Linked DNA regions of Drosophila melanogaster. The gene in region 2 interacts genetically with the main gene of each other region. Each region holds a gene or a part of one and is shown on either strand. Other genes may lie near its edges. The genes, in order: rpr, Dronc, egr and p53.

What was found.
Region 1: of Dronc (region 2) and rpr, changing one suppresses a phenotype caused by changing the other (phenotypic suppression), as found in Drosophila melanogaster (9 studies listed by BioGRID).
Region 3: of Dronc (region 2) and egr, changing one suppresses a phenotype caused by changing the other (phenotypic suppression), as found in Drosophila melanogaster (3 studies listed by BioGRID).
Region 4: of Dronc (region 2) and p53, changing one suppresses a phenotype caused by changing the other (phenotypic suppression), as found in Drosophila melanogaster (2 studies listed by BioGRID).

What each region holds. Positions count from the first base shown.
Region 1 is NT_037436.4:18,395,595-18,400,664, reverse strand, and holds rpr (reaper), read left to right. Parts: upstream 1-2,229; 5' UTR 2,230-2,429; coding exon 2,430-2,627; 3' UTR 2,628-3,130; downstream 3,131-5,070. UniProt on the Drosophila melanogaster protein: Activator of apoptosis, as well as grim and hid, that acts on the effector Dredd.
Region 2 is NT_037436.4:9,965,744-9,972,422, reverse strand, and holds Dronc (death regulator Nedd2-like caspase), read right to left. Parts: upstream 3,945-6,679; 5' UTR 3,536-3,944; coding exon 3,089-3,535; intron 2,580-3,088; coding exon 1,674-2,579; 3' UTR 1,421-1,673; downstream 1-1,420. Other genes in the region: CG6674 (uncharacterized protein), read left to right, coding at 451-759, 821-1,213; CG6685 (uncharacterized protein), read left to right, coding at 4,129-4,318, 4,382-4,589, 4,643-4,736, 4,802-4,951. UniProt on the Drosophila melanogaster protein: Involved in the activation cascade of caspases responsible for apoptosis execution. Effector of steroid-mediated apoptosis during insect metamorphosis. Overexpression promotes programmed cell death.
Region 3 is NT_033778.4:10,076,834-10,086,405, forward strand, and holds egr (eiger), read left to right. Parts: upstream 1-1,532; 5' UTR 1,533-2,178; coding exon 2,179-2,349; intron 2,350-3,779; exon of another isoform or gene 3,780-3,861; intron 3,862-3,954; exon of another isoform or gene 3,955-4,091; intron 4,092-4,354; exon of another isoform or gene 4,355-4,492; intron 4,493-4,673; coding exon 4,674-4,799; intron 4,800-5,419; exon of another isoform or gene 5,420-5,489; intron 5,490-5,808; coding exon 5,809-6,134; intron 6,135-6,196; coding exon 6,197-6,301; intron 6,302-6,428; coding exon 6,429-6,493; intron 6,494-6,570; coding exon 6,571-6,660; intron 6,661-6,740; coding exon 6,741-7,105; 3' UTR 7,106-7,377; downstream 7,378-9,572. Other genes in the region: sut4 (sugar transporter 4), read right to left, coding at 8,796-9,572.
Region 4 is NT_033777.3:23,047,723-23,056,688, forward strand, and holds p53 (p53), read right to left. Parts: upstream 6,361-8,966; 5' UTR 6,287-6,360; coding exon 6,243-6,286; exon of another isoform or gene 6,184-6,242; coding exon 5,860-6,183; exon of another isoform or gene 5,673-5,859; coding exon of another isoform or gene 5,635-5,672; exon of another isoform or gene 5,478-5,634; coding exon 5,397-5,477; exon of another isoform or gene 5,327-5,396; coding exon 5,290-5,326; exon of another isoform or gene 5,227-5,289; coding exon 5,200-5,226; exon of another isoform or gene 5,194-5,199; intron 5,182-5,193; coding exon of another isoform or gene 3,967-5,181; intron 3,509-3,966; exon of another isoform or gene 3,498-3,508; coding exon of another isoform or gene 3,468-3,497; intron 3,403-3,467; coding exon 3,093-3,402; intron 3,029-3,092; coding exon 2,782-3,028; intron 2,720-2,781; coding exon 2,325-2,719; intron 2,266-2,324; coding exon 2,243-2,265; 3' UTR 1,935-2,242; downstream 1-1,934. Other genes in the region: CG17121 (uncharacterized protein), read right to left, coding at 11-298; Gr94a (gustatory receptor 94a), read left to right, coding at 3,967-5,181; Ctns (cystinosin), read right to left, coding at 6,801-6,906, 7,007-7,109, 7,166-7,454, 7,641-8,001, 8,067-8,249, 8,320-8,416, 8,477-8,531.

The DNA.
Region 1 (5,070 bases), 8.4 Mb from region 2:
TGACATTCGACAGCCTCAATTATGACTGATGCGCAAATTACCGCAGGTTACCGCGAAGGACATACATTTAAGGGATAACGTTAGCCATGTTTCGGTTAACTTAAGGCCCTTTCTGGCTCCACCCTTCTTGGCAATGATTCAGCTACATAAAAAAGGTCCCAACCTAAACTCCGCCCCAGAAAACGAAAGCAGACCCAAAACATAAATTTCCAACTTGAACCACATTGGTCGTCCCCCAAAACGTGCGAAAGAGAGGGAATGCCCATTTTTCGGCTTCCTCTTTTTGCCCGCTGGAGCAGAAAACGCTGTTAGAACGTAAGCCACGCCCAACTGTCCCGGATTTATATATGTTGTATGTGTGTGTTGACGCGAACCCGGAAAGAAAAGACTCATGAAAAAATAACTATAGAGTCGAATGGTTCTGCTGTGCGACTAGGACGGCAGTGTGAAAGAAAGAGAACGAGCACGCCCGGCCGAGGAAAGTAGAGTAGTTCCTTCAACAATAGACCTAGACATCAGAGCTGTGGAGAGGTGGTCGCTATAGACGATGACGCAGAACATCCCCCAAAGTGATGGCTATTCTCTATCACAGTGGAAACACTTGAGACGCACGTCGTAAGATTCGGCTGTTTGCCTGTGTGTGGGTACGGTATTACGGTACTACGGCTTTGTGGGTGGAGTTTGAATGGAACTTAAAACTCATCGCGGTTCTTTGGGTGGGGTAAAAGATTTTAGAATTATGCAGGTGGAGTTTCAAGAGCTAATTTTCTATTACATATATATATGAAATTTATTTAAACATCATAACGAAATTAAGAACAAAACAATAGTATGTTTATGGGTAATCCGACTTAGATACGATGAAAAATGATGAAATATGTATTTACGTCATTAAAGAGAAAGTTTCAGTTGAGATTTAAAATGTAAACGACCTATATATAATAATGCAGAATATATATTATTAAAGATAATTTCAATAAGCTTCCTATATGTTGGAAGAATACATTGTTCGGATATCATATCCATCAGGAAGGCAATTAATAATACTTTAAGCCGCAGGGAAATTTTCGTGTATGATTTCCAACGAAAACATTCATATCGTATCATATCATATCCGTCTGGTTCCGCTCTAATGAAAATGAATAAAATTGCACACGAAATATAATGGGACGAGCCCATTGTTGTCAATATACTGTATATGGCCTTTAATTTATGACATTGTCATAATTCTTAGTCGGAAGCTTCGGATGATTGTGTAAACACTTGTAGAGCGCGAGATACTGATAAAGAGGGATCTATCTAGATATGGCAGGTGGGCTGGTCCATGGAAAAGAGAGAAAATAATTCAAGAAATGGAACGGAACTCTTCCTTGCCCACTTGCCCATATTTCAAGTGAATCCGCCTCCCACTTGTTATAATACCCTTACAAGAAGCTATTCTGCTTAATTATGTAAATAGTTTGTACTTTAAATGTTGTACTATTAATAGCATCAATGTGTCCAACCTAAAAAATATTGGTTTTATTTTTCCATCATTTTTAGTTGGAATTTTCTTATTAATTACAATTCAAGAATTTAATCATATTATAGAAAATATACTGGCGGTAATAGCTAAAAGGACTTTTTGCTGATTGACATAGATGAAAATAAATATTTTTAATATTTAAGAAATGAAATTCGAAGGATTAATATGAAACCGGCTAGATGGTTGTACTTGGCTGTTATCAGGTATCCGGCTTAGTTTAGTTGCTAATCACTAATGGGTAGCTAGTGTAAATAATGTTAATCTTAGAGGGTATTCCAAACTTTAGTCGTGAAGCAACTCTTGTATGTCTTTCTCTGTCGAACTCCTTGATGAGAAACGATTGTCATGCCCCGACGATTTAATACAATTAATATGCTAACTGTACTTCTCGCCGCACACAGTTACAACAAAGGCGCTGCCACCAACCTGGCAACAACAACACAACCTCATACAAAAACACGCTTGGCAACAGGCGCAAGGTGGCCCCGCCCCCGCTCACGATGAAAAGTAGTACTTTTTTGGGAGCTGCGAATGAGACGATGTCAACAGAAATACCAAAACAAAAAAACCCCAGCCAGAGAGCCGAAGAGCGAAGAAGGCCAAAATGAGCAGCCACCACCAGAAAAACAGAGAACAAGGCGGCGTGAGAGAACCAGGTATAAATAGCCTCGGAGCACTACTCAATATATTCAGTTGAAAAGCAACCATCGCAGCGAACGCATCTCGAAAAAATCATTGAATAAGAGAGACACCAGAACAAAGTGAACGAACTCGAAAATACGAAAGAAAAGTGTGTGCGCCAGCAACAAAGAACTAACTCGATAAATATTCATTGTGCAGAAGAGAAAGTTATTGAGTCACTACCAGTTGTGTAATTCCGAACGAGAAGAAAGATAAACCAACAATGGCAGTGGCATTCTACATACCCGATCAGGCGACTCTGTTGCGGGAGGCGGAGCAGAAGGAGCAGCAGATCCTTCGCTTGCGGGAGTCACAGTGGAGATTCCTGGCCACCGTCGTCCTGGAAACCCTGCGCCAGTACACTTCATGTCATCCGAAGACCGGAAGAAAGTCCGGCAAATATCGCAAGCCATCGCAATGAGGATTCGAGTAACTAACAAATACGGGGAAAACCAATAGTCCAGTCCAAAATCCAGAGTACAAAGGAAATAAGCATGAGCCAACCCAAAACCCAAACACAGTCACCACTCATCAGCCGACGGCACTCGATTTCTACTGCAGTCAAGGACACAGAGCCACAACACCCACCCAATTTTAGTTTACTCATCAAAGCGATTGTGATAATGGTTTTGTTTCTACAAAAAAGCGGAGGAAAAATTTGAAAAAATAACGTTTTTATAAAGTCCCCAATTTTTTACAAAAATGTTTCAATGATATAAATCAACTTTTTTAGAAATAATTTACTCTTAAAGCCTATTTAAATGAATTACTACTGTAATAGTTTGTAAGTTCTTTTGTAAGACGAGTTTTTCTAAGTTTTTTTTAAGAAGAAACCCCAGAAAAAAACGAAGATGAGTCGAAGTTGGCTAAAAATTGCATCAATTTTTTGTCAAACAAAAAGTCAATAAAACAAAAACAAAAACTAAAAAAATTGTTGGTTTTTCATTTACTTAAATATTTTCAGATTACCATTTATAAGATTTAGATACAAAAAGCGAAGAAAGCCTAAGATGATGTCTCGAAAAACTGAGTTTGGAACAAGCACATTTTTTATTTCATTTCGCCGACGGTAAAAGGAACTTTCTAGAAGGCTGTTTAATAATCAGTGAAATTATCGGTGGTTGTGAAAATTATTTTACATGTGTTTGGTTAGGAAACGTTAAAGATTTTTTTTTGTTTTGAAAAAGTTTTTCATTTGATTTCCGGCGTTCGGTGACAGAGTCCGCTTTGAAATATATCTTAATAAAATATTAAGATTGATATTGCCGGAAATAATAATAATAATAATAATTATAATAATAATAATAATTTAGTTATAATAATATTAATGCAAGCTAATTTCTTGAATTATTGTAGAACGAATATAATTATAAATCGGTATTACATATAATAGAATCTTAACCACATTATTTTTAGTTTTGATATAAACTATTTGTTGTAGAAAGTTAAACCACGTTTTTATTAGTCACTTTCCAGACAATAGATTTATTTAAACTTCATTGTTCTTTAGTTTTCGATATCTTATCGATATGTATATTTAGACATGGCTAGATCAACTCCAAAAACTGGAATATTGTTAAGATCAATCACATCAATTGAATTAGGATATGTATGAATATTATAATTCTATATAATAATACCACTTCTACCATTAGATATTTTATTTTTAATATAAAAAAATGAATTCCCAATTTCTTGGAATGTGCAAAGTTAAGGGAGAATGAGTCTTTTAGTCCAACTTTTCCACTCTGAGAAAAACTTTTCAGCCACTCCGACAACATTGTTCAACACAAACGGCAGCAAGAAAACACACAAAGAAAATTCAATTATGCAAAAAGGAAATACAAAAATATTTGCCAAGATTTTTCGATGCAGAAACTTTGTAACAAGAGAGAGCAGGCGGGGGAGTTGCCCCTACGGCAGTCTTGACATCTTTTCCCCTCTATAATTTCAAAAAATTAGGTGCTAACAAAACAATTTGCATTTTTAAGTTAATTTTGGCAAGCGCCAAATGGCAGGGAAAAATTCGATGTGCAATTCTTGAGGGTCTCGTCATCAGCTCGAAGGATATGACTCTGTGTTCCGCGAACGCGGCCAGGACTTTTAATTAAACTTTTGCACTTATGCAGCTGCCATATCCTTGCACATCCTGCAGTTCAATTCACTTTGATTGCCCGAAAAAAGTTAATAAAAGTTGGCAAAGCTCGCGCAAAAAGAAATCAGAAATTTCACTTTGCCAAACAAAACTAATTAACGTTAAACAGATAAAACTTTTGCCCACGCCAGCCGGAGTGGCATATGAAAAATAATTAACACAAGTTTATGATTATGTTTGAAGCTGCGCCAAACGTCGAGCGATTTGTAAGCGAAGTGCTGTAAAAATCACAGACGAAAAGCATTTAATCCCTAGCAGCAAATTCTTCCAAACTTTTATTTCTGTCTCTGCTGTTAATTAGTTCGAAAAGTGTTTCTAATAATGCCAAAAAGATGCAAAAAATACAATGGAGCCCGCTTAGAGTTAAGTGAACTCGAATCAAAACAAAACTTTATCCATAAATTTCCAAGAACTATTTTCGGTCAAGAGGTGCAGCCCTTTTTTTATGTTTGGGGTCTTAGCCTTGACTGATCTTTATCCGTTTGTGGTTCCATCGCTCTGCTTACCTTCCACATAATTGTCTGGCATGTTAGCCAATTTTTCGTTCCATACTTTTTGTTTGAATAGAACAGGTAAAAGGTAGGAAGGAACACAAATAGTCCGATTCTGCGGATACTCGTGCAGAAATTAATGAAGACCCAAAAAAAAGGGTCCACTGGCAAATTCCCAAACCAAATCGAAAATTTAACAGTCCGAAGTTGGGATGCCT
Region 2 (6,679 bases):
TGGGTTAGTTTTATTCAATATCCACCTGGCTGTTTAATTTATTTATATTCGCGAATGAGCACACTTCTTCCACACTAAGTTTATACACCGGCACCAGTCTGACCAGAGTTTGCGTGGGCCGAAATTCCAAGATATCTTAGTTTGCAGAGAATACCAATCATACTGCTACTATATTGAAATAGAATGGGATAAATTCAAATCTGTTAATTTACGTTTAAAAAGTATTTTAACCCTATGATGTCAGTTAACTCACATAGTATAGACTAATCCATAGAAAAGGAAATGGTTTAATAGCTGCCTTAATAGTCTAAAAATACTGCACGTTACTAAAATACTAGATGAAAATACAAAACGGTAACTGTGAAAACAGCTGATTTGCAGCAAACAAAGTTACCTCTGCAAACACAACGCATTTAAGCAAATGCCATTTGTGCAGTTTAACTAAGTAAAATGCAGGAATTTTCAGCCAAACGAGACGCTCTTTTCGCATGTCTCGACGATGCGAGCAAAGAGTTGCGGGGAACTGCCTTGGATCAGAGCAAGGCCAAGGCGTTTTCCATCAATGCCCTCGATCGAGGAAACAAATCCGGAAACGAATCCGGACAGGTGATGAACTACCGCCAGGGTCGCAGCATTGTTACTGGCCTCGATGCGGAGGATGGAAGACTGCGACGAATGCGCGGCAAGGAGAGCATTTTCAAGAAGCCCGAACTCCCCATTGGACGCTGTTTGAAGCCAAGAAAAACGCCAGATTACCAGGTGACAGACCATCCCTCTGCAATTAGTTGTCCCCACCCTAAACGTTTGACCTACTCTCTAGGTAAACCCGCACAAATGGAAGAAGTACTCCCTGTCTGATGTGGACATTTCCGAACAGAGCAACTCCGCCGCCGCCTTGTCCTTCCTGCGACAAATGGATGCACAGCGCGAGGCTGAGGGCGTCGATAACGAATCTCCACCTACAGATGGCAAGATCGAGTTCAAGAGGACCAGCAAACTCAGCCGCAAGCTCAAGAGCCTCAAACAGCAGGAGGTGGATGATGTGGAGCTGGATAAGCCGCAGTTAAGAGGTTCCAAGCTGGTGATGCCTGAGTATGTAATTGGCCAAAAGCCGCATAAGCCAAAGAAATGCAAAACCAAATCGGAACAGAGCCGTGCAGCGGGAAAACTACAACTGTCCCACTTGGCGGAGGAGGATGAGCAGGATGATTAGGTTAAAATGTATGATCCTAAGATTATATTATATAATAATTAGTGTCCCAATGAAATTTTAGAAATGTAAATAGATTTTAATTATATACAAACTGCGGTTTGTTGTGAAATATCATCGTTTATTTTGTAAGTGTACACACTCAAAAATCAGACTGGAAAATTGCTTTACATTTTGCCTAAATGTTCGATTTCAAAAATCTGGCTGTGTATATACTGGAACTCTGTATTATAATATTTGTAGATTTCTGGCAGTTATCACATAAATTACATAATTTCGTACCTTTAAATGAGGTATGCAATACGTATTAGAAGAATACTTGAATGAGTATTTGTTACAATATAAACATTTTATAGCACGCGAGCACAGAACACATAATCTAAAAGACATACTAAATGCGACGATAAGAACATAAATGCGGTTAAAAATGCATCCGGAATGATAAAATGTCCAGTGGCGGCAACTATTCGTTGAAAAACCCGGGATTGAAGTAGAGTTTCTTATTAAAGCCAAGATTATCATAGGCACCTGTCTGCATGGAACCCTTCTTGGTGCGCTTATTACCCACGGCTTCGCTCGTCTTCTTTAGGATATCCTCAAGGTCTGTGTCGTGGGCATGATCGGCCATCACTTGGCAAAACTTCTGGATGTACCAGCTGCCCGTGTCGAGATCGCGGTGGGTAACATAGCCCGGCGTATTAGCATAGCAGACCAGAGTGTCGGCAAGACTTGGCACATTGGTGCTCGGGCTGGGTATGCCCTCCGTCTGGGTGTCAGGCCACTTCTCCTCTTGCGCCGTATACACTGGCTCCATGAGATTGCCTTGATTCTTTGGATGGCCCAAATCATATTCATCGCCGCGGCAAAAGGGAAACATAAGCACCTTCGGCTTGTTCACCAAATAAGGACATTTGGCCGTCTGGAAATGGTCCTTGATCTTCTGCATATCGACCACAGATCCATCGCAAAACTCCACCTTCTCTTTTCCCTCCACACTGTTGCCGTGTGTCATCAGTACCATTACGAAACACTCGGTATTCTGCACATACGACGAGGAGGTCACCATTGTCAGAAGTTTAAAGAACTGATCCTGATTCACGTTCCCATAGGGGAAAATCGTAAAATTCAGTTCTTGAAACAAGTGTATCAACGACTTGCTGTCCTTTTCGGCTCCGATCCGTCGACGGTTTTGATCCGGATAGTCCATTATGTTAACCATTAGCAAAACGCCTCGGTTGAAACGTGATTGCATCTTATATGTGCCCAATATGGCACTATCCCCACCATGTATCTTTTTCGATTTTTTTACCTCGGGACCGTCAACGACACCCACATAAGGGGTGAGTGCTCCCAGCGGCTCATTCCGGAGCTTTGGTAGGAGAGAGAAAGAAAGAACAAATTACAATAAAGATAAGATTTTCAATATATATATTATATTTTCATTGCACGGTTAATGTGGCAGACAAAGAAGTAATCAACATTCGTGCTATATAAACACAGCTGCCAGCAATATTGCGATAAGATTCTGGTTAAAAACAAATCCTACTAAAAGAATAATTGGGATAGGTAAGTAGAATGGATGTGATTCATGCTTCCAAAAAAAATGGAAAACAAGAATCTCATACACGAACTAACTTCTGAAAGAGAAGCAAATAATACTGTGCACATGTACCAAAGTAGTATTCATCATTGAGTCCATTTACAATTCTTAAAGATACCTTTTCTAATCTCATTCCAATAGGAATAACTCAATTAACAAACCTAAAAAAAAAAATGCAAATAAATTGTGCCATAAACCGGTTTTTTGTAGAAATCAGGGTCAATGACCTGAGCTGCAATTTCACCATCAAAGCTTTCGTATGATTTTATTTTCATTACCTTGCTAACGCAGGGTCCTTCGGAGGCTTCGGGTGAGGGTGTGTCCACAATATCGGCCGACTTCCGGCTGGTTCTCCGTTCGTTTAGCGAGATAAAGGGTGGCCTTGAATCGGACTCATCGACGGATTCCAATAGAACGGCCGCATCCAGACAATTGATATTGCGCAGTGCATTGATCAGCAGGTTATAGGCGGTGGGACCACGCTGGGTGATCTTCAATAGGAGCCTACGATGCTGCTCCACACGCACATCCTTCTCGTCCATGTTGAATGGCTTGCCATTGAGATCCTGCGTATTTCTTAGCATCTGAACGGTTAGGATGCCCTGTTGCACGCACTCCATGGCCAGACGCTCGTAGTTCGTCCATTCAACCAGTATATTCAGATTCTTGCGTATATGCTCGCGATGCCTCTTCGGCATTCCAATCTCGAGCTCCGGCGGCTGCATTCCGGATATGGCTTCCACGCGTTCCGGTGACTCCGCTTATTGGGCGCGCCAAGGATGGCTGCCGTGATCAGTCTCCAATTGGCAGTGGTATTGGCAGTGAATCACCCGTCTCCAAGGTTTTCCCGGGAATGATTTCGTTTATCGCTACTTGTCGATTCTTTGTCTCCGCTTTGTTGTTGTCGTCGTTGTTTTTGTTTTGCGACTTTCAAGAAAGGGGCACAAATCGGCGGCCCTGCTGGTGTCCTTATTTTTCCAAAAGTAAATTAACTAGTCTATATATTGCACTAGATGATCCTAGCAAGGATCGGGGATCTTCGAATAGGATTTCTTTCGAAACAAAAGGACCAACGAGCGTTTCGCGCCGCCAAACTCGCCACTAAACTAATAAATGAAACTTTGGGATTGGTGTGGCTGCTTGTGGGTGCGCCATTTTAACCAGAGAACGCGTCCGGGATAAATCCATGACATGAACCGTCTCCATGTTCCACTTATTCCACCATTCCTTCATTGCCGCATCAAATGATTCAATTTAATACTAAATACCAAATACCATATGGGGTCAGCCTAACAAACCGTAAACATAAACAAAAGAAATGGAGGAGGAGCAACAATTTACGCCGGAACCGAAAAACTCCGCGCAAAAAGGCGCAGAAAAGCCTGCAAGGATTCCGAGAGAGGTGAAAGTTAAGCTGCAAAGGCAACTAAACAGACTGGGCTACTCACAGCAAATCCTGCTCGAAGCAGCCAAGCAGCAAAATCAAAATAATTCGAATGGCATTCTCCGTGAGTTTTCTTAAAACATGCATAATGCAATAAAAGTACATTGTCCCCCAATCCCTTTTCTAGAGTATGTGGCCGACATGATTGGCAAGGGCGAGGAAATGGTGAAAAACTGCGACTCCGTTAGCTTAAACAACATTAACCAGTGGCTGGAGCTCATGAAAAGTTCGCAACTCGCTGAACTCTGCGAATTCGAAGCAGCCGTCGTTGTGAACTCCATAATCCAAAATGAGACAAAGCCATCGCCAACGGAACTGAACGGCATTGACTTGAAGTAGGAATGGTTTTGATAAACTACATTTGTATTTAGCATTGTGGTACTTTCAGTGAGGCCTACAAGTTTCTGGAAAACGCTTTGATGGGCCAGCCGCAAAAGAAGATGAGCGATGCGACCAAAGAATTTTTGTCCAAGGAAATTGAGGTGAGCAGAAGGCTGCATCAACTTTCCAAAATAGTTAAAAAAAAAGGAAATCCTAATGCCAACAGCTGCTCATAGAGAAGGCAAACACCGACGAATCCGACGATGTGGCACGCAGCATGGGGCAGCGTTTATTTGACCACCAGTTTTTGGATTACATGGAACAGCGGCAAAAGTGCAGTTTGGATCCACTATTCCTGGACGAGAAGCTAACGTAGAGGCTGTTATTGAGTAATTGAGGAATTTAGCACACAGAGCATTTATTCATTTCCACACATTTATTAAACATTTAAATTCAATTGTTTGTTACATACGTACATTGTCACACGCATTTGCACCGCTCCATTATCATCAATCAAATCATCGGATCCCACGTTTATACATTATTAGTATTACTATGCCAAATGCCCCAACCTTTGTACGTATTAATATTTGATAATTACACTCTTAATTAAGTACTTGACTATAAACAGTTTTAGCACATTTAAAATCTAGAATTCCTTTAGTTGTACACAATTACTTCGAGTAGTGTAAGAAAAAGTTGTGGGTCTTTGGCCTTTGGATTCTCTCAATTGCATAACATTTATTGTGCATGATTGTTTTCAATTGTTGGGGCTGCCAATTAGCATTGCATAGACTAGTGTAGAGATAGGTAGTTTAGTTTTAGGTTTTGCTACGATTAGCTTTGTTTTAAACTTTAAGAGGCATAAAAACAGTTGAGTGCTGCTTGACTCCCATAGCATCACAATAGAATCACAAGAGACAGAGTTGGCTTCATTTCAATTCAATTCATTAGAGGATCTAGGATGGTACACTTACGATAACATAACGTACATACGATCAGAATTACATACAAATTCGAATACAAATATAATACCCTTTTGTTTTAGGCGCAGTTACTAGCACTAAAACGATCTTCACACAATCAAATGCAATTCAATAATGTACATAATATAACTCTTAAATGTTCAGTCCAGTTTGAGCTTTTGGTTTTCCCCTTTTTCTTTGATTTAGATTTTGTTTTTAATTTTTTCATTTTTAAATTTTTTTTTTTGTTTCTTGTGTTTAGGTTTCTGTCTTGTCGCGTAAACATTAATTAAAATTAAGTAAATCTAATTATATATACGTACGATTAAACGCTAGTAAACCATATCGATATGCTTGTCTAAGGTGAAATAAATAAACAACAAATTCGGACCGAACAAAATGCAAAGCAATTTCAGGTGCATGGCAAGGATATGCTGGAGTTTCAGGATCAAATTAGCTGGCATTAACCAAACGCAGATCCAACGAATCGAACAAACACAACGAACGACAACAACGTAACTTAAAATTGCAATTGTTTGTTAGTTGATAGTTGATATAGAATTAGTTTTAGTGTCGCTTGAATTTTGATTGTCCCGTTCCCGTTCGTGTAATTCATACTTTTATTCATATCATTCGAGTATGTGTATATAAAGTAGAGTGGTTTTTAATGTGTCCTAGATAGAGTTCGTCCTGCTGCTGCTGCTGCGTTTTGTATACATATATAAATTCATATTTTTTTTCGGGTTTCACTTCTACTCCGCTAAACATAGCACAACAATAATGATAATAATCGCTTTAATTGCCGTTTACGTAATGAATACATCTATGACACTGGTGAGTCTTCACTATATGTATAAAGTTTCAAGAGTTTACCATTACCAATTACCACACTTTTACGCATATAGCTGCCCAACTATACAAATTGACTATAAATGTGAGACTGAGATTGAGTTTGAGATTGCCTTCGGGTACAGCGGCTTCAGTAATTACTGGCTCTGGTTCTATTTCGGATCGGTGGACCTTGGATTGGATTCGTGTATATTCACCTTAGTAGTAGTTTTGGGTGTTTTTTTGGAGCTATCTATTACGTTTGATCATAGTGTGTATATATTGAATGAATTGAATGATGGGTATAGAAT
Region 3 (9,572 bases), on a different chromosome or scaffold from region 2:
AATTAAGCTTTTCACAACTGAATTTATATAAAACAAATGATGTAATACAAAAAAGTAAGATACAAAACACAAAAAAGTAATAGAAGCTTTTCAAAAACTATTGTATATACAAATGTACATACATATGTATATGTATATAATTTTAAATCATTGATTTACCATTTCCGAACATTGAAAATTATAAATAAAAATGTGGTCTTGCACAATGCGAAAACAGATAACGACTAATGGGTTAAGAAGTGCACCGGAAGCGTGTGCCATCCGATCCCCGCTCTTACGGCCTGAGCAGTTCTACCTGTGGTTACCTGTTTGTCGCAGACGATTAGAAACTAATTAGCTGACCAACGCCGACATTTGCATCTCTGCCGAATGACGACACTCTTGGGCGGATTTACGATACGGGTCTGTTTGGCAGCCGGTTCGGCAGACTAGTTGTCGCGACGGTGGCTGATCGGATCGGATCAGCATTAGGTTTATGGCTACCCCGCTACCCGTAATTAGAACCCGTACTTAGGCACGGCGCTGACAGACCCCGATCGTCGGTCTAAGTAATAATAAATACGATTTTAATGAAATGCTAAAAGTTCATTTGGCTTATCTATGGGTTTGTCAACGATCCGCCACTTTTCGGAACTCAATTAGCTGCGGCTCGGGAATCGAAGATCGGGGATCTGTTCCATGTCAGTGTCATGAAGGGAGCTCGAACAAAGCAGCCACACAAAGAAAATGAAGCGAAAACCCGGGGATGCGAAGCCAAGCCGCTTACAGTGGTGCCGATTTCAAAAAGCAATCGAGCAACCCCTATAAATCACAGGGGGAGGTTTTAAGTGCACATAACACATAAAAAGAAATAAAAGCAGTGGAAAACACTGCGCAAAAAGTCAAACACGCTTTGCTACTTATGATCGCCATATGTGCAAGGGAAATCGGAACCAAGTACAGTCTGTCTTGGCTAAAAACAACGATGAGATGGTCTTCAATATGGCATCCAATATTCTAAATTAGATACACTATTTTCTTCTCTTTTGATAAATGTTATTAAAGTTCGTTATTTGAGCATTTCAATTTGATATTGAAATTATGATAACATTGTTAAATTGTTAACAACTTTAGACTATATGAACTATTATTTAGTGTTATATCATATTATAAATCATATTTTTGTAAATATTTCTTATGCACACCATGATTATGAGTTTCATACAAATAATTTGTTATAATAAATAAAAATCGTATCTACATATACATATGTACATGTAAAATTGTAGAAATATAATAATTAATTTAATTCCTGTTAGCCAGAGCCCACTGTATCACCAAAACACCACCCCGGGAGAACCTTGCCAAAAATTAATTACACAAAGTAAACAGCGCAGGCGCCCTTAAGTATGCCGCGCATCCTCGCCACGTGAGCGAGGGAGACGGTGCCAATCCGTTGTCCCTCTTGCTCGCCTGCCTGCTCGAACGTGAGAAATCAAGTGCCGCTCGGTTCGTTTTCCCTCAGTTCACGCTCCCGTTCTCAGTTCAAATTCATTCTCTTTCGAATCGTCGACGCGAACGGACGTTTAAAGTGAGAAAAGAAACCGGTAAATCAGAGATCCCAAGCAAGCGCGTGCGTGCATGATAGCGAAGAAAAAAAGCTATCCGTTTCAGTTAACTACTTACCAAGATTGAATTTCGCCATCGGGCAAATTACTAAAAATACATAAGTGCAACTCGTCCACTGTGTGTTGTGTTTTTTTTTTTTTTTTTGGTTTTCGCTGTGCCTTTATCGCAAACAAGAACTGATAAAACTAGAAAATATCTTGAGAAACTTGTTTTCGCGCTTTTCTTTTGCTAATTGCCGATCGCGGAAGAGAAAAACAAGCAGTAGACAAAACAAGTGTGGTAATACAATCTGAAAAGGGCACCATCAGCAGCCCGAGGGGTTTATCTATATAGATGTCGCAGCTTATCATCTCATGCTGTCTGTGAGGTTGTTCTGTGTGCTCGTGTAGTATCTTAAATACATAGAGTGTGTTCATATAAAGTGCGACAAAGCTCGATTGGAAACAGCTGTCGAGTGCCCTTGAGTGGGTGGGCAAGATCGTCATCATCATCATCGTCGTCATTATCAACAGAATCAGCATCAGCATCTGGAGGCCCCGGTTGCTCTAAGATCCCCAGTGTTCATCAATTATGACTGCCGAGACCCTCAAGCCGTTTATAACGCCAACGAGTGCCAACGATGATGGTTTTCCGGCCAAAGCGACCAGCACGGCGACCGCCCAGCGACGCACCCGCCAGCTGATCCCCCTGGTTTTGGGGTTCATCGGTCTGGGGCTGGTCGTTGCCATTCTCGCACTAACGGTAAGTTTTCCTTCACAATCATTTACCCAATAGCAGCCCAATCAGGTATTATTGCCCATTTGGATCGACTATCGCGATTCTAAACACACCAATTAGACTCTGAACTGAATGAAATCGTACTACAAAATTTTCATTAAGATGCTATTAATTGATAACATTGCGTCTCTATCTGCCTACTTAAGATAACAAACCATGCTTAAAGATGTTTAATTAAGGTGGCACAAATCATACTTAGTATTGAAATAATTACAAATAAATAAATAGTATAACATATTTTATGTGTGTTTGAGCGTCGTACAATCTCTTCAGTCGCATTTTATGTTTTTAATGTTTTTTAGCACACTAAAATCGTCAAATGTGCTGAATAGATTTAGTTAATGAATATAATTTGAAAAAGATTAAAGTAGTCACCTCCAAATTGAAATAGCTATTCCATACTTGAATGCCTTTTTTTTTGTTTGTTGTGTGCGATTAATGATTCGTCGGAATTCCAAAGGTGTGGGTATATCAGTTATTGGTGGGAGTTTCCCCAGAATATAGATAGGAATGAGTTGTTATGGGCTATGTTGTTTAATGATATTTTGGGCGCCAAAGTGGGCCAATCATGATTATATGGCCGTTTTAATGACTGTTTCGAAACGAGTGTAAAGGTATTACACTGATTCTTAAACTAGACTTTTGTAGAATTTGTGTTTTATTGTGTTTTTAGTGTTTTATTTTGGTAGTTTAATTTATAATTTTGCTTAGTTATCTCTCCAAAAACCATCACAACGACAGTTAGTTTTATCTGGAAAACAGATTGCACCAATAAAGTAATGAAAGCATAAAAACAGAGAGATTCCATTCAGCCATGAACCGCCTTCTAGACTCTGAACAGACTCCTATTTTTCGGAAATGTTTATTTCAGTAGCTTGCCAAAATAAAATGCGAATAAATATAAATGCAAATTGGACTTTAACAACGTATGTGTATAGACACCCCCGAAATCGCAATCTAAAAATGAATATTTAACCTTTGGCACGCTTCGGCTTATAAAGCTGTTTGTCACAAAGTCTTTGTTGATGCCAAATTAAAGACGAAATTCCGCGGATGCATAAATTGAAATGAAAACAGACTTTATGATCCGTGACCGTCGCAGATAGGTTAACTATAATTTGGCATGAAACTATATTTAGAGCGGGAAAAACGGCGGTTTCTTGGCTGATCAAGCGATGTCATCACCGACACGTCTTTAGGCCAAATCGGTTCCTAATGATCCAGCTAATCCAAATAAAGCGGATGCAGATGCTAGAGAAATGTTTATCGGTACATGTCTGTTCTTCCCTTTTGTTTTTGTTCAACCGATTTAAATGCCACTGAGTCCGTTCTGTTATGCATTCGATAAATCTTCGACTGGGTTGTTGTGTCATGTTTTTCCCTGATAACTTTGCGAATGAGTGTGCTCGCTGAAATCCGGATTTGAATTGCAGAAGATTAAGTTTGTGGACTTGAATCTGGTCCTTCTCTCCCACCCCCATTTCCCCCCCCCTCACCCAGGACTCCTCCATGACCCACTCAACTTTGGCTTAAGTGAACGGAAATCGTACAATTGACAATTGACTTGTAAATGATTGGCTTCAGCCACTGACGTGGGCCTCAAGTTCGGTTTTCCTCATAAATCTCCGTTAAGCCATGAAGCATTTTTCGTTGTTTAATTCAATTTCACTGACATTCGTACAAAGTAACCCTCATCATTTGGGGCCCTCTAAGAAAGTGACAAACTGCAGGCGCTGCGATCGATCTACTGATCGCCGATAAGCTCTAATGGAAAGTGGTTCACTGGAAACTTAAACAAGTTTCTTGGGTCTGCGTAAAGTCCATAATTTATACAAGAATTCAGTACAAGTTGTTGTGTGTACCTACATGTATGTACATGTGTATATTTCCCCGTCTGCGCGTACAGTGGCTTAAGTTGAGCCATTCTTTTCGATTTCGGCTGCCAGTCGAGACTTGAGAAGTGTCCGTATATAAGGCCTCTGCTCGGCCCGAATGTTAATGATCCATTAAGCAGATTATGTGGCTGAGTGGCGATCGTACGTACCCCGCCGTATTTCCCCACGAAATCTTTCTCGTCTCGCCTCTATCAGTTTGTTCAGTTAGTTTTTATATATTTTTCGGGTGTCAAAAGTTCGCGGCACTGGGTGTTATATGATGTGCCGGGCCTTAGCACCAGCTATAGATGTTTAATTGGGGCTACGTTAAATTGATTGCCCAATTGCTAATGAGCGGATGATTAGAAACGAGCCTGAATGAGTGTGTAACAATTGAATTATCTTATCTTGCAGATCTGGCAGACAACGCGTGTATCGCATCTGGACAAGGAGCTGAAGAGCCTGAAGCGAGTCGTCGATAATCTCCAGCAGCGTTTGGGCATAAACTATCTGGACGAGTTCGACGAGTTCCAAAAGGAGGTGAGCAATTGCGTAAATCACTTTCGAGCATCAATATTTGTACTCGGCGATGGGGCAGGGGCTGTAACATTTGCCCCGGGCAAATACAGATACCTCGAATTGTTTACAAAGTCGGAAATGATTGTTATTCCTTGAGGCTGGTACTTGAGTTTTTAATGAGGGTATATCGAACTTTTGTTATTGAGTATCTATTATGTTTAGTTTTCTTTTTGCCTAAAGGGTAATTTGCATTTTATGATGGCAAACTCTGGCTAGGGTATCTCACAGTCGGTAAGCCATGCGCCTGTTTTTGAAAAAGAATGCCTCAAAAAAATGACCAGACGTAATATGTGGTTATTGTGTGGGACATACAAAAATATTTATAGAATTATGTGCTAAAATATAATTTCGACGCTGTTTCATCTGTTATTTGTTTCATTTTTTTTTGTTAGCTGCTTGGCCAAAGGCACATAGAAAATTGTGATAGATTATTTGAATTATAATGTCTCTTTCCGCAAGGAAACACTCATTTCAAATATGAGGCGCCAGCCAGTTCACGTAATTTATGAGATACAAATCCCCAAGTGACAAAAGGTAAAAGCCCCAATAATTCAACAAAAATACTAGGCTCTATCAGTAGATATAGTCGTTCAAGGCGAGCGATCGCTTTTGGCTGTATGTGACGATTGATCGAATCTCATCAAATGGCCTAATGGCCAGAGATGGTTTTAAGATTTTAAGATTTATTTATATTTTGATGGCTGGGCATCTGTGGTGCCAATTCTCTTGAGAGTTTCCTTCGCTTTTAAATATATGTATGATGTACACAAGTATATGTATACGAGTATCATGTTTTTGAGCGAGGCGCCATCAATTAGGATGATGACGAAACAGCCTGTGCTGCGGGCGTGTGTCTAAAAATGAACGTCCCAAATGGATGTGAGATATGTGCCAGGACTGTGCCAGCTGCAGTCACGTACTTGGCCAAGTCTTCTGACCCAAAATGCTGATGCCCATCCCTTCGTTGCAGTACGAGAATGCCCTCATCGACTATCCAAAAAAGGTGGATGGCCTCACGGATGAGGAGGACGACGACGATGGCGATGGTCTGGATTCCATTGCGGACGACGAGGACGACGACGTTAGCTATAGCTCTGTGGATGATGTTGGCGCAGACTACGAGGACTACACCGATATGTTAAATAAACTCAACAATGCACATACCGGCACCACGCCCACATCTGAGACCACTGCTGAGGGCGAGGGCGAGACGGACAGTGCATCCTCAGCCTCAAATGATGACAATGTGTTCGATGACTTTACCAGCTACAATGCCCACAAAAAGAAGCAGGAGAGGTGAGCACGGATGAAATTTTCAGGGATTTATCGTATTAAGCCTCTGCTTTTCCTCTTCACAGAAAATCTCGCTCGATTGCCGATGTACGCAATGAGGAGCAGAATATTCAAGGAAATCACACAGAGCTTCAGGAAAAGTCATCCAATGAGGCAACTTCCAAAGAGAGGTAAGTAGAACGTTCCGTTGAAAACAGGCAAGAAAAACCATTAATGAAGTTATATGCTATGGGTTAAAGATAGATAGTTAACTGCGTAACTGAAACACATATGTATACATTTTCTTTTTACTTGAAGCCCTGCACCACTTCACCACCGTCGCAGAATGCATTCCCGCCATCGCCACCTCCTAGTCCGCAAAGGTGTGTAGTGTAGAAAAGCGAAACAATTGGCAAAAATCGAATACCAAATCTCTATTCGCACCTCTGTTAATTTGCAGGTGAATCTCTTCTTTCAGCCAGATCCGAGGACTCGAGGCCAGCAGCCCATTTCCACTTGAGCAGCAGGCGGCGTCACCAAGGAAGTATGGGTAAGGAGATGCTTCCGCGTCAAGCGTGTACATACAAGTACTACAGGCAACCTAATGAAGTCACTTCTTGAATTTCTCAGGCTACCATGGAGATATGTACATAGGAAATGATAACGAGAGAAACTCTTATCAGGGACACTTTCAAACGCGCGATGGCGTCTTGACGGTGACCAATACAGGCCTATATTACGTATACGCCCAGATATGCTACAACAACTCGCACGACCAGAACGGATTTATCGTCTTTCAAGGAGACACTCCATTCCTGCAGTGCTTGAACACGGTGCCCACCAACATGCCACATAAGGTGCACACCTGCCACACGAGTGGTCTGATCCACCTGGAACGAAACGAGAGGATCCATCTGAAGGACATTCACAACGATCGCAATGCAGTTCTGCGGGAGGGAAACAACCGAAGCTACTTTGGCATCTTCAAGGTGTAAATTGGAGAGATTATCCCCGGTCAGAAGATGGAATACCAGTTTAAGCTTTTGTCCCCGCGACTGCTCGTGAATGCGATTCATCGCCAGCGTGAATCCATTAGTTCGTAGTACCTAGTCTTAGTCACTCCAAACCTAATCTCAATCGGAATCGTGCATACTGCATTAGTCAGAAGACGGAGGAAAATCATATTTATTTTGTATATACTCGTTCGACTCTAAAAAGTGAATAAAAATATATGTAGCTATTACCCGCTTGTGTAAGCGTGTTTAAGAAACATCAATTGAATCAATTGCTACCAGTTGCAATTGAAAATATTATAATCTTCTAAATAATGAATATTCGTTCTTAGTATAATTCGATTCAAAATGCTTCAAATGCTTTCAATTCAAATCTCAAATGAAGAGCCATTCAAAGATATCCCTCAGCTTTATTTGTGCAATTCCAGCTTACTATGGTCTTTATTAAAAATTTTGAATGGAATTTGGTCAAAGGGCAGGGAAATTGCTTTGCAACTGGATAATATCCGGACCGGGAGTTGTATTGCAGCTCGAGCGTCTGTCCCGGGCAACATCTGCATCGCCATCGTCATAGTCATGGAAACCACAGGAGAGTAAGGAAGTCCGAACTTCAAATCTTTTTACCCACATGTTCCGAGAATTCGGACAATTGGACACGAAGGAGGGGCCAAAGTACAGTCATCGGTAAGACGACCAAATCAGTCTTGCAGACGTCATGTACAAGAAAATGTTGAGGTGGCATTTTCATGCTAAGCTTGATTGATCAAATAATCAATTAGTTGTACCTGGTGTTTTCTAGTGTATACTCCTTGACAACAATTAGCAAGGATTAATGAGAATGGATACAACAATTCATTTTTGACTACACGTCACACGACCTGTTCATGTCGTAAATTTAAAGACAAGCTTAAAATACCTGAAAATGACAAAATGATATATACATTTTGAATACTTATTTTTGTTTTCCCATCTTCAGCCAAAGACAAATTTCTAGTGGTTGGGAGGGGGAACTCCGGATATGATTGTGGGGCGTATGCACGCCGATTGTCGGGCGGGCGGAGTAACAGGTGGCTCGAATTGGGGTCCTGCTGATGGGAGAGAGCAACAGTTCGTTCCCGGAATTGGTTTGTGCTTTTGGCCTGGCCATAACGTGTGTACATAACCCCCAGCTGCAGCGCCCGTCAGATGTTCCGTGTGCCATGCGCACTGGTCGGGAAATCGCAACCAGGCCCGAAATTGCTGGGGAAATGGCATCCTGTCAGCCGGAAAGCTTTCTACTATTTACCTGGACTTATTTGCTATTTACCCTCCGATTGCATACGAAGTCAAAGCGCATCTATTTTGCATATAGAGCCTGGCAATTGGCAATTCGTTTCTGATTTCAGTGCAGTGTGTGTCGATTTCTCTTTCCAAGTAGTTCAAGTAGTTGGATTGAAGGATCTGCAAGGAATACGTTGCGCGAAATGGTGAGTCGGCACAACACTTAAAATGTCAAGAGGTGGCATTTTATTCATAATAACATCATGTAGAAAAATGTTAAGACATAAATTTAAATGCATTTGATTGCATTTGACGGTACAAATATTCAGTTCCAATTCCACGAAAATTTATCAAAAGTTTGGTCAGAGATCCATAGACTTGAATCCCTGATGATATCAAAAGATTGCAAGTACTATTCGGCCTTCTCGCCCATCTTGGCCTGAATCTCGTTAAGCGTTTTTCCCTTTGTCTCGGGAATTAGGAAGAGAATGAAGACAAAGGCGGCCACCGCAAATCCGAAGAAGATTGCAAAGCACGCGGTTGCTCCAATAATATCGTTAAGAACAGGGAAAAGAAGGGTCACGATAAAAGCAAAACACCAATTTGTAGTCCCGGCAATCGATCCTGCTAGGGCCTTTACATCCTCGGCAAAGAGCTCGGCCATCATCAGCCAGGGAACTGGACCGAATCCCAGGGAGAATCCAATAATAAAAACACAAACGGCAATTAGGGCCAGCCAGCCGACTCCAGATTTCATCAACATGCCAAAGTAAAGAGCCATGATCAGGGTGCTGATACCCATCATGCAGGCGGACACCAATAGGAGTATCTTCCGACCGACTTTCTCAATAACCAGGATCGAAATGATAGTGGCAATAGCCTGCACAATGCCCACAATAATTGTAGATATTCTGGGCTCCAGGGTCGATCCAGCCGTCTCAAAGATGAATGTAGAATAGAAAATAATCGCATTGATGCCCGTCATCTGCTGGAACAACATGAGACCGATGGAGAGGAACAGCCCCTTGAGGGTAATCCTGCGGCATAGGATTTTCCCAACGCTAGCCTTCTCCTTTTGGCCCTCGGCGCTCATTTCCTTCAGCTCACCGCTCACATCCGCATCCTTTCCGCGCAGAAATTTAAGAGATTTCTCCGCCTTCTCGGCTTTTCCCTTTTGGGCCAGAAAAAT
Region 4 (8,966 bases), on a different chromosome or scaffold from region 2:
TGCAACTCACCAGTGCCACCTTGCCACTGACATCCTTCTCCTTGAGTCCCAGCGCGAATAGGTAATCCAACAGGTGCTTGAGAAAGACGGCCAGCAGGACCAGAGGCAGGAGGAGCAGAAAGACGATGACTTTCAGATTGAAGATGGCCCGGGTGGTCTCATCGTTGCGATGCGCCTGCGCGGCCGCCTGTGTCGCGGTGGGCGTGGCCGAGGCAGTGGGTCCTGTTACCGTTACTGCACCAGCCGGAACGGCGGTGGTGGTGCGGGTTATGGTCGTTGTCGTTGCCGTCTCCACCATCACTCACAGCTTGTTGCACCCACAATTGGCTAATATGTGATATGAGATATATGTATCTGTATCTCAAATATCTCTGTTTTTAGCCCAGAAATTTTCGCGGTCAAAGCAAATATGGCACTCGCGGCGACTCCAAAACAGCTGCAGCGCGTCGAAGATCAGGCAGCAGACTAAAAACGCCAACAAGCGACTGCGAATGCCAAACTACGTGTACAAGCTTTCGACTCTATAGCAGTATTTCCCCCCATTGAGTGAAGATCGCCAGCCGCTCGACGCTATCTGGTTTTCGTATCTACGAGCTGCAGATTTGAGTGGGCAGCGGTAGCACCTTTGAGTGGAAGCGCCGAGTCGCGAGTGAAGCTACTGCGTTTCACCTGACGTCTTAGCCCGGCTTTCTGTGGTTGTTTCCTTTTTTTGTTGTTTTTTATGTGTTTGGGCCATATTGTTTTCCCCACGCGCACAGTGGGAACTGCGGATGAAGATCGTAGCCGATAAGAGCCCAGCCGTGTTTGCTTTCCCTTTATCTGGTCCGTAAAGATGGGGTATCTGCCAGTTTAAAATGATAAACAACTGCTTGAATATAGTATGAGTCTTAATATCTTCCCGAAATAATTATGTAAATTATGAGTCACTGCCTCCCAGTGTGCGCCACTTTCGAATTGTCAACCTTTTGGCACCCGCCAATCAAAGAAACGTATTTAATTGGGCTTCTAAGGCGATTGCATCGCTTGGGAAAAGTGCACTGAAAAAAATATATACTGAAGTATATACAGCTGTGCTTATTCTGAGAAGTGGGTGATATTTAATTTTAGTGGATTTTATTTTTACAACTTTTGTTATCAGAATGACTTGTTTGGAAACCTCGAATAAATAATTAAACAAATTATGATACATTTATATTTGTTCTTTGTGCTTTAAGTATTACAGATATGTTTGCGTACTTTATTATTCTGTTACACAAAGCCGCATGTATGTTCCCAGTGCAGAAAGGTCTCTCGAACTCAACTCGTATCCAAAACCACTTTTCTGTGCGCTCGTCCAACGAGAATTGAGTGAGTTGCTCCGCTGGGTTTTGAGCACTTTGAACGACCCATTTTCGTGGTGCCAAACTGGTAGTGGAAGTGGCAGCCGGTCGAAGAAGGACAGGCCCCAAATGGAAGTGAGTGCATCCGCTTTGGCTGAATTTTTGGACACAGAGGCTATCATTCCGTTACGATTAGGGCGCACTTAATGCCCCTGCCCTAGGTCAATGAACAGCGATCGGTGGGCTAGAGTAAACATTTAGCTGCCGCATGTGGCAAAAGCTAAAGTCGCCTGCAGCTGCAGCGGCACAGTGTCAACATCTGGTGTTTGTTGCACTTTTTTGCATCCTCGCACATGTGCAACGCTGGCGCAACGCATGCGCCCTGCTTGAGGTTGTTTTTTTTTTTTTGAAAGCATAGAACTAAAACCAAAGACGTGCAGATACGGGTATAAATAAAGTATGTAAATGCGACGCAGCAATTTTGACATATTAGCAGCTAGCTAGCTGAGTTGCATCCTGAGTGCATTGACCGCACACAAGCCACACATGTCACATAGCATGTGCTCCACGGTGGGGGTACAGTAGGCTCTGGGCATTGGCGTACACCACGAGGATATGTTTGCAAAATATGACAACTCTTTAATAAATTCACTTTTGGCTTTTTTGTACAGAGTATGTTTGTTGTGGTAGACAAAAGTTACGTAGTCACATAGAACTGCAGTTAACAACAGTATACTATCAAAAATATAAAAATGTTTTCTTTTCGGCCATCGAACATGCCAAAAGGGGAATATCACCGTTAAACGCCTTACGAACAAGGACTAATACAAACTTAAGATACTAATAGCTATGTAGTATACCCCACAGATGCAACACATTTCAAAGGTATCTGATACCTGGGAGATTGTCGACCAGATCAGAAGTCATGGCAGCTCGTAGGCACGTTCTGAAAGGAAAGTTCGGTAAGTAAAGCTTAATCTCTTTGTCCTCCGATTCACTGCTTACTCTTAAGGCTCAGCAATTTGTTGGCATGGCGACGTAGATTCTCTTGGTTGGGATTGCGCAGGACTTCAGCCGCCGCCTCCTTAATCATGCCCTCGATGCTCTGCAGCAGCCATTCCTTATTGGGGCACGTAATAGCCAGACGGTAATCGCCATCCGGTGTCCGCGACACGTTCCACTCTGCGGCGGAGTCGTCGCAGTCTCGGCTATCATTGCTCTCCGTGTCCTCCGTCTTTATAGCAATGCACCGACGCACCTTGGACGGCTCATCTTCTTCGGCGGCTTCCGGCACGGACTTGCGCTTCTTGCTATTGAGCTGGCGTTCGTCTTGGATGCGATCCCGCTTGGGGCACGTACATATTTTAACATGTATAACATGCTGTCCCACGATATCGCCGCTGCAAGAAAGAAAACACGTTAAGCTTTGTTCTAGCCATCTAGAGTTTTGCTGTCACCTTACCATGCTTTCTCCAGGCAGAAGACTAAGGAAGTTTCTTTTCGCCCGATACACGAGTTTTGGCAGACGAACTTGAAGGCCAGGGTCTGGCGCGTGAGCCCACTGCGGGTTACAGACCGGCTCATGTTCAGGGGGACTACAACGGAAAAACGCTCGGAAATTCCCTTGCCCTGAGCATTTCCACAATATACACTGTTGGGATTCTCGCTGCGCAGCAAGCTCTCGCGCATTTTTGCGTTATTGGCCGTCACTAAAGGTTTGTACAAATGATAGTTAAATAATCCTGTTCGATCTGTATTGTTATCTTCACTTACAAGGCTCAACGCTAAGGTGATTTTGACAGCGGACCACGGGAGCACTCACATCATTGGAGAAGCAAAGGAACACACGCAAATTAAGTGGTTGGATGGGCATTTTAGACTTGAACTGAACGTCCACGTTGAAGGCCTTGTTCATCCGGATGTAGAGCTTGTTCAGCGGAATCGAGTACATCCAAAGAGACTTGGGCGGCTCATCCAGAACCATGCTGAAGCAATAACCACCGATGTTGTGATTCTCTAGCTTGGGCAGCGTGTTCGCCTGGATCTGAATGTCCTGCAGCATCATTTCGCGCAGCACGGATTGCTGTAAGCAAAAACAAGATATTATTTGAATGTCAACTTAACTCGCAATCATATAAGGGTTCACACTTTGCGCTCATAGAGCTGATAGAGCTTCATGTTCCAGCTTGCTCGAGTTACAAATGGACTGGCGATTTGTTTTGTATTCTATTCTATTTTTCACAAGTGCTTGAAATTCTCGCTAAACGATGACGACGGGAAGGAGTGCACCGTGCTAATCGGCTAGATAAGAGTGTTTTGTTCTGTCCTCCAACTGAAAGTGAACTTCGAAGCGACTTTGACGTCATGTCGCTCTTATGAAATTGCAGGCAGCGGCTGAGTCACGCAAGGAATGCCGCTTCCCTCACGCTTCTTATGCTCTTTTGTTTGTGGCTAGTAGTAGCACAACGCATGCTCAGTTGGTTTCTGGACGGCCGGTGAAATACATGCGTTTCGCGATGTGTCCCGATAGTGTCCGGCTACTTGACAGGTCCTCTAGATGGCATCAGTTGGGTAGTTGGAAAACAATTAAGCAGATATTAATGCTGTGGAAAGTGCGCTCACAGTTTGTATTAATTGTTCGAGAGAAATGGACTTCACCAGCGACTACGCGCATCGGCGTATGGTGAAATTTCTGACGATCATACTGATAGGCTTTATGACCGTCTTCGGACTCCTGGCCAATCGATATCGGGCGGGCCGTCGTGAAAGATTCCGCTTCTCAAAGGCAAATCTGGCCTTTGCTTCGCTGTGGGCAATTGCATTCAGCTTGGTTTACGGGCGGCAAATCTACAAGGAGTACCAGGAGGGTCAGATCAACCTGAAGGACGCCACCACTCTGTACAGCTATATGAACATTACGGTGGCTGTTATTAACTATGTGTCGCAAATGATAATCAGTGACCATGTGGCCAAGGTGTTGAGCAAAGTGCCCTTCTTTGATACCCTAAAAGAATTCCGTCTGGACAGCAGGTCGCTGTACATATCCATCGTTTTGGCTCTGGTCAAGACCGTGGCTTTTCCTCTAACAATTGAAGTGGCTTTCATACTGCAACAGAGGCGGCAGCATCCCGAGATGAGCTTGATCTGGACCTTGTACCGGCTGTTTCCCTTAATTATTTCGAATTTTCTCAATAACTGCTACTTTGGCGCAATGGTGGTGGTGAAGGAGATTCTGTACGCTCTGAACAGACGGCTGGAAGCGCAGCTGCAGGAGGTGAATCTGCTGCAGAGGAAGGACCAGCTAAAGTTGTACACTAAATACTACCGCATGCAGCGATTTTGCGCCTTGGCGGATGAACTCGACCAGCTGGCGTATCGCTATAGGTTGATATATGTGCATTCGGGAAAGTATCTGACCCCAATGTCCTTGTCCATGATTCTGTCGCTCATATGCCACCTGCTCGGAATAACGGTGGGTTTCTACAGTCTGTACTATGCCATAGCGGACACCTTAATCATGGGCAAGCCGTACGATGGTCTTGGATCGCTGATCAATCTGGTTTTCCTCTCCATCTCGCTGGCGGAGATCACATTGCTCACGCATTTGTGCAACCACCTATTGGTGGCCACCCGAAGATCGGCAGTCATTCTCCAGGAGATGAATCTCCAGCATGCGGACAGCCGCTACCGTCAGGCAGTCCACGGCTTTACTCTGCTGGTCACGGTGACCAAGTACCAAATTAAACCCTTGGGCTTGTACGAGCTGGACATGCGACTGATCAGCAATGTCTTCTCGGCGGTGGCCAGCTTCCTGCTGATCCTCGTGCAGGCCGATCTGTCCCAGCGCTTCAAGATGCAATAGCTAATCGATGTTACCCACCTGGCTGAACTGCATCAGATTCCCGGACTGCGGGGAATAATATTAAATAGTTAGTAAGCTATAGCTTTGCACATTAAAAGCACAACTCACGTTTAATCCCTGCAAGAAGGCCATGGGTTCCGTGGTCCTGGAATAATAAAAACAATAATAGTTAGCAACCAGGCAAACCACATGTGACCACGTGACCAGGTACTCACAATTCCGATCCCGATACCTCCACCGTTTTCGGAATATCCTCCTTGATATCGACCTCCGTGGAGTCATCCTCGGAATCAGTGCTAAAGTGTAAAAGGGAAATAAAAACTTAGTGGCAAACTGCGCCTTGGCTGGATAAACAAACACAAACAAGTTGGCCGCGCGAATGATGCAAGTACAAGCGTGTTGCTACATGCAAGGTTTCTACTGTTCGATCATCAATTTGTTGCCGCACTGTACCTTTCTTTGTGCCACGACATTGGCTGTGATATATACATCTTAGTCGGCTATATCTGATCAAGCGATCTTGTTGGGGAAGGAGGCTAAATATTAAAAATTCGCTAACAAAAAACTACAGAATCGTAGTGGCCACCGACTATTTGGATTTTGCCATTCGCCACGCAGCGCGAACAATCGCCGTAGCCAATGTTTATCGATTGGAGCGCGTGTTTTGAATTTGCTCACCCCTTGTGGCAGACGAATTTGTTGCATGCATTAATTTTGTTATTGCCATCGGAATTATTGTTGGCCAAAATTTCCAGATTGTTCGTGAACTGCATCATGTTGTTCGTGTTGTTGCCTCCGTAGGCTGGATCCACAGGCGTAGCCAGGTGGGCATATTCGTTGGATTCGTTGCCAAAACTCTGCGGCAAGTTGAAAGCTCCGTTGCTGGAGACCCGAACTGCTGACTCTGCAGAAACTTCGTTGCCGATATCCCAAAAATCCAGGAACTCCTTGAAAGCTTCAAAAATTGTGCGACTATTGCTACGCGAAACAATCGAAGTGTTTCTGCAAAAAGGCGCAACATTATTTTGTTGGGTAAGACCGAATAAAATATCTCCGCTCACTGGTTAAAAGTCAAGCTAAACGACGCGGACTTGTGAAGACTCATGGCTGTGCACTCAAATAAATAAATTTTATTTAGCAGTTGCGATTTGTGTCCGCAAGAATCTTCCGTGCTCCAGGGATGTCAACTAACCGGAAATTGGCTAACTTAATGTCATATATCCATGGCTATCGATAAGCTATCGATAAGGATTTGGCCGAGTGCGAACAGTGCTGCCCATTGTGCGGCAAGTTAGAATTTCTGTTTTGAAATTTTTTCAATACTTCAATCTATTTATTAGTTTGCAAATAACGCGCCGTATGCAGCAAATTGGTTTCACTGCACAGCCCTTTGAATGGTCGAGCAATGTACCGTATGATTTCTGGCTCCTACAAAAAATTAAGTTTTATTTAATGGTGAAATTCCAAATTTTAGTCAAACTAAATTTCAATTAAAACGCACGAATTATACAAAGCTTAGGCAGCTACGGCATACGGATATATTTACAATTCTAAAAATGTACATAAAGCGCTACTGGCACAAAAGTCTTTCTCTACAGCAGACATATGATAATGCAGCTCTAATATTTCTCAGTCGTCACTTCGCTCGGCGGCGGCGACTCATTTGTTCGATTTTGAACATCGGTCACGGTGGTGAGGTCAGAGCTCGAGGATTCCCTCGAATGCCTGGGGAGAAATGGAAAACAGCACAGCAATAATGATAAGTGTACAGTGGAGATGACATAATCGTAGATTAAGTATCATATTCACACAATGTTTCAATCACCTGTAAAACACATAGTGCTGCAGCATGAAGAACACATCGAAGAGCACGGAAAACAGACCCAGTCCGAATTTGGTGGGATCACCGAAAATCGACACCCAATCATCTGGAAACCAGACACGATTTCATTCGAAAATCACAAATTGATAGACTATATCCTACCGTAATTATGAGCATTCAGAATCATTTGCAGCATGCTCAGCGTTCCTCCCGTGAAATCCAGCAGAATGTTGCCGATGCTCCAGCCGGAGGTGCTCTTCCGGCGATAGTTCATCAGAGCTTGCGGCACGTACTTGATGATGGTAATGGTTAGCTTGACGTAACTGCAGTAGTACAGAAAGTCCAGCCAATGGATGACGGATCCTCCGGCCAAACCGGCAGACACGACGACCACCACGGCGAAGATGGCCAATATTCCGTAGGCAATGAACGACACCCTTTGCTGTGCTCTCTGGACAAATTTAACAAAGTATGGATGTTTTACAAGTCAAAACCTTATCTACTCTTCATATCGTAACTATCCGCTGTGATTCAAATGATTTGGCATTTTGATTGATGGCAATTAGTGTTCAATGCGACAACTGTTGCCACTTCGGCGATAAGGCTATTGAATGGTATTTGCTATATATATTATTACCTGATAGAAAAAGCACTGAAGGATCGTAATGCAGGTGGCGAACATGGCATGCAGTGAGAAGACCACGTCGTTGAGCATCACAGGATTCACTCCCAGCGGATATCGCACCTCGTACTCGTTCTGCAGATCCTCGATGAAATAGAGGCCGCAGTTGAACATGCTGTACAGGGTGAAGCCCACGATATTGAGGGCCAGGAAATCAAAGTTCAGTCCCTCGACGGACTTGCGGCGATAGTTGCTCCAGATCTGCGGATAGAAGGACACCGACCAGGCCACAAAGTAAACCCAGCCAAAGATGATGGAGGTGTAGATCAAAGCTCTCGATTTGGCCACAGTCACGCGTACGAACACATCCTTCACACTGGAAAATAAGTGAATTTTCCAATTAGGTACGGGAACAGTTGGGATTCCCGTGAAGTTACTCACATCTCTTTGTTCGCATCATCGCTATCTGCGACCACTTTGACGTTGCCGGCTTTGAGGCCAGTTATCACCACCGACTGATTTCGAGTACTGCCCGCTGGATACACAAACGTTGCGGGATCGAGGAGCAAATGATCCTCCGAATCTGTTCCCAGCGCAACTTCCACGTCGCTGTCTAGCAATCCGCTGTAATGGGCACAATAGATTTACGATGCCATATGTTTTGGATTTGGATTTCCCGGCAATGGCAACTCACTTGGCGAACACCAGAAAAGTCTCGTTGCTGTTCAGCAGAACGGTGATGTCATGGGAATCGACGGTGAGCTGACTGCTTTGGGCATTTCCCAGGGCAACTGTGGGCAGGAGAAATTCCCTCATTATTAGATCGCAATATCTGGATTGCGATATCTCACCTGTGGCCAGGAGGAGGAGCAGCAAAGTGGTCAGGCGGTGTGTGCTGAAATCCATTCTGCTTGCGTTCAACGTTCAACTTATTCATGCATGAGCATCCAGTCCTGCTGGCATCTTCTTCAATGAAGCCCTATATGGTATTGTATTGATTCAATTGTGAATTACTTCAATTGACCAATTGACCACGATCGGGTGAAATTGATATCTACTCGTAGGAGTATGGAATGCAATTCCTGACACCTTTTTTTTTTTTGCTTCTTAATTTAATGACCCGTGCAGACACTCAATCAATAAGGAATATAATATGATATAAAATGATATAAACATAAAACTATTTGTTCCAAAAAAAAAACTTGCAGTGCAAACTACGCACGCTCGCTTCATCTGGAATTCGTGTGTGTTTTTGTCGAGATAAAAGTCGGTAACCTTCATCAAATGTCGCTCAATGTTACAACTTTGCAATTGGAGCACACTTTCCCACGGCAAGCGTTG